2 linked regions of the Macaca mulatta genome follow. The protein of the gene in region 1 purifies or fractionates together with the protein of each later gene. This does not show direct contact. Links are inferred from orthologs where the notes say so. Each region holds a gene or a part of one and is shown on either strand. Other genes may lie near its edges.

Region 1 (3,569 bases):
GGATGCAGAAGAGCTGGAAGCAGGAACATGTATTATTACTCTTTTAGCTGATATCTTAGGAAAATCTTTTTTGTTACTCAAAATGAATATGAGTCTGATTGGCAGGCTCTTGAGTGTCTTAAGATCTCACTAAGAAATTTACTGATTGAATGGGAGCGGAGATGTAGCTACTAAAGTACAATGTAGCTACTAAAGTACAAATCATTTTGAGTTGTGTGGGACAGTCAAGGATTGCCTATAAAAGCTCATGACTTCGCATCATTTACCTTTTGAAGCATTCATCTGATGGCTGTCAAATCCTCCAAAGGTTTCTGCTCTCCGGGGCAGGGAAACAGGACCGACCGCACCTTCTTGCTCAATGGGGCTGCTGACAGTTGGCCCAAGTGTGCCTCCCAGATTTCCACTCACCAAGCCCTGAAGGATCTCCACTGGAATAAAGGAAACATGCAAAGCTGACATCTTATCTTTCAATGAGGAGAAAACAAGTTCACAGTATACATGATATGTACAAAGAGCATGATTGGAAATTTCCAAAGAGTGACTGGGTGAGTTCCTTTGCTCAGAGAAGGGTTTCAGCTCAGGGTATGTGTTTTGGTTGGACTCTACTAGAAATTTAGAGATGAGACTTTCCACTTTATATACAAGAGGCTAGGAAATTTGAAAGTGTACAGGGAAGGCAGAGTAATTTACTAGAAGTTACATGGCTTCTGGAATCATATCCAAAGCAGCCAGAAGATATTCCTTGGAAAGTAAGATGGACTGATTTGAGAACAGCAAGTAAAACAGTCAGGGTTTCTGGCTTCGCTAATATGGAGTGAGTTCAAGGGGCTAGAGTAGTCTAAGAATTTGCATCTCAACTCTGGCCCGCTAGGGTTCTTTTCTAGGGTATGGCTCACAGAAAGAAGAAAGTGGAGAAAATGGAATAAAAGTTAAACAGGAGAAAAAGAGATAAAGAAAAAGAAGGGCCAGGTGGAATAAGGGAGGGAACCAATAGCAGGAAATCTGATAAGACAAGCCATGTTAAAAAAGAAAACCTACACAAAAATGATAGACGAGTCCTATGGTGTGAGAAAATCTATATGAACCTGTAAACTTAAGACACTGATTTCACATAAAAATGAGCAATAGAAAATATTGAAGTCAAATCTCATATAAAGGGAAAACACAGGTGGAGAAAACACAGGGTCTAACTTCTCTACAGATAATAAAAGCACATCAGAAAGACATGTGCATAAAATAAGTGAGCAAAACACATTCTTGCCTCAGCCTCCCGAGGAGCTGGGACTACAGGTGCACGTCACCACACCCAGCTAATTTTTGTATTTTTAGTAGGGATGGGGTTTCACCATGTGGGCCAGGCTGGTCTTGAACTCCTGACCACCCGCCTTGGCCTCCCAAAGTGCTGGGATTATAGAAATGAGCCACCGCGCCCGGCCCCATCAAACATGCTTCAATTTATGAGTCCATAATAAAAACCATGGGTCACTTTCAGAAGATGTTCATGGTCTTAAAAACTGGTAAATAAATAGAGGGGAAAAATAATCAAGCGTTTATCCTTTTATCTTTTCTTATATGTCACGAAAAAAGAGACAACTAAATTTATGCCCTCTCAATGAAAGAACACACTATAAGGGCACAATTTACCAAAGAGATCAAGTCTGAGTGATTAATTAAGCCTCTGAGAATCCAGCTGCAAATCTGAAGGAAACAGAGGACAGAACTGTATGAATAAAATCCAAACTGTGGGAAACTCTCTAAGTCAAAAAGCTCATATTGTTCAAAGATAAATTATATGGGGAAAAAAGAAGATGGTGAGGGGAACTGTAAATTAAGAATTTTAAGATGCATATCAAAAAAACATAAGCAAAGTAGGCCGGGCGCGGTGGCTCAAGCCTATAATCCCAGCACTTTGGGAGGCCGAGACGGGTGGATCACGAGGTCAGGAGATCGAGACCATCCTGGAAAACACGGTGGAACCCCCCTCTCTACTAAAAAATTAAAAAAAAAAAAAAAACTAGCTGGGCGAGGTGGCGGGCGCTTGTAGTCCCAGCTACTTGGGAGGCTGAGGCAGGAGAATGGCGTAAACCCGGGAGGCGGAGCTTGCAGTGAGCTGAGATCCGGCCACTACACTCCAGCCTGGGTGACAGAGCGAGACTCCGTCTCAAAAAAAAAAAAAAAAAAAAAAAGCAAACTAAACTATAATGTTTAGGAGTAGGCACTTAAGTCATAAAGATATATAAGTAAGTGATTAACGGCCGGGCGTGGTGGCTCATGCCTATACTATCAGTTCTTTGAGAGGCCAAGGTGGGTGGATCACTTGAGGTCAAGAGTTTGAGACCAGCTTGGCCAACATGGTGAAACCCTGTCTCTATGAAAAATATAAAAATTAGCTGGGTGTGGTGGTGCACACCTGTAGTCCCAGCTACTTGGAAGGCTGAGGCAGGAGAATCACTTGAACCCAGGATGGGGAGGCTGCAGTGAGCTGAGATTGCACCACTGCACTCCAGCCTGGGAAACAGAGCAGCAAGATCCTGCCAAAAAAAAAAAAAAAAAAAAAAGGCATAAATGATTAATTTAAAAAAAGGCCAGAATAACTGCTCCTTTTGGAGGGAGGGAGGTATGATGGGGACAGGGCACGTGGACGAAGGCACTTCAGGGTGTCTGGCCACATTTAATTTCTTGATGTGGGTAGTGGTTAAAAGGATATTCACCTGATTATTTACTATAGTGAAGTATTTGTTTTGGGTAATTTTCTGCATTTGTGCGGCTTTATTTTAACGTAAAAAAGTAAAAACTGGCAGATAATATTAGAGTGTAAACCACTCTGGGAGGAGATGAAGGGAGGCAATGTTGAATGTTAATTACCCTCATTTATTGCACTTTTCATTAAAGGTCCTCCTTTGAGAGCGTCTTCTGTGTTGGAGCGGAAGAGAACTCTAGGGCTATGTGTCGGGGAGCAATCCTCTGGGAGGGGGGTGCTGCACTCAGCCATGTCCCGGAAAATCATCTCCTTCTCTTCCAACAAGAGTAGGATTTGTTGGTCCTTCTGTTGAAGTTGTTCTGCAGGATGGAGAAAATGATCTGTGATTTGATTGGCGTTTAGTATTACGAGATGACTAAGACATGAGCACCACCTTGTGGTAATTTATGGAAAGGGACAAGACAGGACACCCCACCCACTGCCCTTTCTTTTTCATCATGACAGCAATATTGTTTCTGTTCTGTGATTTCTATCTGGAAAACCATTCTGGATCTTTCTGGCGAGGAAATTGTGACATAACAAGTTTGCACTTTGCTTCCACTCCCTTGTCCCCTGTTTACTTCTCAGCCCACTACTCTCTAGCTTCTGTCCACTCTGCAACTGGTTTCCCAGCTCAACTTCACGATTGAATCCAATGAGGTCTTTTAGGTTGTTTTTTTCAGCATTGATGATTACTTCCTCCTTTAAAACATGTTTCCTTCTTTAACTTAGGACACTGGTTCTCTTCCTACCATTCTTTCTCAGGACACTTTACTGATCTGCCATCTGCAATGGAATCTCTTATCTGGGCTCCTGGCTTCTGTCTCAG
Region 2 (3,569 bases), on another chromosome or scaffold:
GCCTGACCAACATGGTGAAACCCTGTCTCTACTAAAAATATAAAAATTAGCCAGGTGTGGTGGTGCATGCCTGTAATCCCAGCTACTCAGGAGGCTGAGGCAAGAGAATCACTTGTTTCCAGGAGGCGAAGGTTGCAGTGAGCCAAGATTATGCTACTGCACTCCAGCCTGGGCAACAGAGCAAGACTCCATCTCAAAAAAAATACTGAAAAAAAATATATATATATACACACACACACACATCTCTCCATACACACAGAGGTGAGATCTTGCCTGTGTTACCCAGGCTGGTCTCGAACTCCTGGGCTCAAGTGATCCTCCCACCTCGACCCTCCAAAATGCTGGGATTACAGGGATGAGACACCGCACCGGGCCAAATCCCTTTCTCGACACGTCACCTCCCCGCCAAAGGCAGTTGTCCTTTCTGACTTCAAACACCGTGCCTTTGTTTTGTCTGGGCGTGGACATGATATAAATGGAATCATTCATGTTCTTTTGTGTCTTCTTTTGCTTTAACATAATCAGTTTGAAATGCAGCCACGTTGTTGAGTGGATGCATGGGCTGTCCTGTTGGCAGTGGTGGTGGTGAGTGGAATTCCATTATATGACTATAGCTCAGTCTGTGATTCCATTCTCCTGTGGGTGGACCTACAGGCTATTTCCCGTGTCGGGCTATCTAAGAATCAGGTGCCTCGCATTTCTGACAGCTGGACTGGAGTTGTCTTCCTCTGGGGAAGGCTCTGCAGGGCCACCTGCTGGACCATTTTGGGGCATGGCCACTGACATTCACCTCTCCATCTGTCCCCATCAGCGAGCCCCATGCCCGTTTCTACGCGGCCCAGATCGTCCTGACCTTCGAGTATCTGCACTCGCTGGATCTCATCTACAGGGACCTGAAGCCGGAGAATCTGCTCATTGACCAGCAGGGATACATTCAGGTGCCCACCAGGCCGGGCGAGGGGCAGCCCTGGGGAAGCCGTGGCCTGGACCCTCCCTTCCTGCCAACTGCCTGTTCTTGTGCCCACAGGTGACAGACTTCGGTTTCGCCAAGCGCGTGAAGGGCCGCACTTGGACCTTGTGCGGCACCCCTGAGTATCTGGCCCCTGAGATTATCCTGAGCAAAGTAGGCGCCTCCCAGCCCTCCCCTTCCCCTGAGGCCGGCTCTGCTCTCCTGCTCGCCCCCTCCTCACCCTGTGCCCCCCCATCTTGCTCCAGGGCTACAACAAGGCTGTGGACTGGTGGGCCCTGGGGGTTCTTATCTATGAAATGGCCGCTGGCTACCCGCCCTTCTTCGCAGACCAGCCCATCCAGATCTATGAGAAGATCGTCTCTGGGAAGGTGAGGTCCGGCTGCGGGGACACAGCCCTGGAAGAAACAGACCCTCCCCTGCTCACTCATCCTACTCCCTGGGGAGCCCTGCTTGTTGTCAGAATAATCTAGAAGTTCCTTAAGTCAGGCCAGGTGGTGAAGCTGGACGCACCGGCAACACTGAGGCCAACACCTTGAGGCCCCCTCACTGTCCAGCCCCAACCCCGCGGTTCCAGAATCCCAAGAGCTTCCAAAACCCCAAGCCTCACAGAAACTTCTTGGCCGCAGAACACAAACCGCCCTGCCAGGCAACCCTCTTCGTCACTCCTTGTCCCAGTTAGTGTGAGTTTTCGCAAATTCCAAGGCAGAAAAACCAGTGTATTTGGTTCCTGTTCCCAGGTGCTGTCCGCAGCCTCACCAAGGAGTGCTCTCACTTAGCGTTTACAGCCCATGCTTCCTCTCCCAAACCCAGACTTGCCTAACTCTGAGGGTTCGGATGAGGGGTGCTGAAACCACCTCAGCTCACATCTGTGACAGGCGCAAAGTGCCTGCCATCCACCAGGCCCTAGAATCCCCCCATCAGTCACACCCTGAGATGGTGGCACCCTCTGCAGGAGAGGTGAGGAAACAGGCTGGGAAAAGGGATGTGTCTTGGCCAAGATCACACTTTGGTGAGTAGGTAATCATCGTAGGCACTAAGAGCAGGAGAGAGGTTGGGGACCCCACCTGTGCCCTCAGCTCAACCACCTTGCTGGGAAGACCCGACCATCCCCCGACTTGGTCCAGCATCTCCTACACAGGAGCTTTTGGTCGGCCCAGAGTCACGACACTGTGGTGGCAGCGTCCTCAGGCTCAGCCTGGGCCCCAGTCCGGACCCCAGTCCCAGCTCTGCCACTGATTGGCTTTGAAACTTTGCATTTGGGTGCAATGGCTCACGCCTGTAATCCCAGCACCTTGGGAAGTGGAGGCTTCAGGCCAGCAGTTCCAGACCAGCCTGGGTAACATAGCCAGACCCCATCTCTTAAAAAAAAAAAAAAAAAAAAAGCTAAAAATTAGCTGGGCGTGATGGTGCACCCCTGTATTCCCAGCTCATCAGGAAGCTGAGGCAGGAGGATCACTTGAGCCCAGAAGTTCAAGGCTGCAGTGAGCTGTGACTGTGCCACTGCAAACTAGCCTGGGTCACAGAGCCAGACACAGTCTTTTAAAAAAATTCAGGCAAGTGGGGTGCCCGGCTGGACACATAGCATCACTAAAAGGGAAAGATGAAGGCCTGGCACGATGGCTCATGCCTGTAATCCCAGCACTTCGGGAGGCTGAGGCAGGTGGATCACAAGGTCCGGAGTTCAAGACCAGCCTGGCCAACATAGTGAAACCCCATCTCTACTAAAAATACAAAAATTAGCTGGGCATGGTAGCAGGCACCTGTAATCCCAGCTACTTGGGAGGCTGAGGCCAAAGAATTGCTTCAACCCAGGAGACGGAGGTTGCAGTGAGCCAAGATCACGCCATTGCACTCCAGCCTGGGCGACAGAACAAGACTCCGTCTCAAAAAAAAGGAAAGATGAGGCATCTGCCATGGGTGGAATAGAAACTGCCAATAAAATGGCCCAGAGTAGGCCGGGCACGGTGGCTCACGCCTGTAATCCCAGCACTTTGGGAGGCCGAGGCGGGCGGATCACGAGGTCAGGAGTTTAAGACCAGCCTGACCAACATGCTGAAACCCTGTCTCTACTAAAAATACAAAAATTAGCCGGCTGTGGTGGCGTATGCCTGTAAATCCCAGCTACTCAGGAGGCAGAGGTTGCAGTGAGCTGAGATTGCGCCACTGCACTCTAGCCTGGGCAACAGAGCAAGACTCCATCTCAGAAAAAAAAAAAAAGAAAGAAAAAAAAGAAAATGGTCCAGAGTGGAAAAAAAGAAAGAAAGAAAAAAAATCACAGAAGATCCCATAGGAGAAGATGCACATGACTCCCTTCTTTGTAGCATTTTCTAGTTCCCCCACACCCTCAGTGGTGTTATCTCCCTCGTGCAGCCCTGGGATATCTGCCCCACATCTGAGAGGCATGCACAGGCCCAGAGAGGTTAAGGGCCATGGCCAAGGTCACAAAGCGTGTAAGAGGCACAGCAGGAACAAGAAGTCGTTTCTTGCAACTATTAACTCCAGTGATGACTTGCATACAAGGCTATGGGCTCAGAGTGTATGGGGAAAACTTTCAAGAAGAGTCGAGCTGCACTTTAAAGAATGGAAGAGCCTTAGCTAT

What was found. Proteins that work in one complex are often made in the same cells at the same time.
Region 2: the proteins of AKAP13 (region 1) and PRKACA purify together in Homo sapiens (affinity purification with mass spectrometry; 3 studies listed by BioGRID and IntAct, with this or other methods). This does not show direct contact. The link is inferred for Macaca mulatta from reciprocal best matches to the Homo sapiens genes AKAP13 and PRKACA.

The regions. Positions count from the first base shown.
Region 1 is NC_133412.1:75,527,199-75,530,767, reverse strand, and holds part of AKAP13 (A-kinase anchor protein 13), read right to left. Parts: intron 3,061-3,569; coding exon 2,866-3,060; intron 429-2,865; coding exon 267-428; intron 1-266. UniProt on the Homo sapiens protein: Scaffold protein that plays an important role in assembling signaling complexes downstream of several types of G protein-coupled receptors.
Region 2 is NC_133424.1:14,682,308-14,685,876, reverse strand, and holds part of PRKACA (cAMP-dependent protein kinase catalytic subunit alpha), read left to right. Parts: intron 1-811; coding exon 812-938; intron 939-1,027; coding exon 1,028-1,123; intron 1,124-1,215; coding exon 1,216-1,338; intron 1,339-3,569.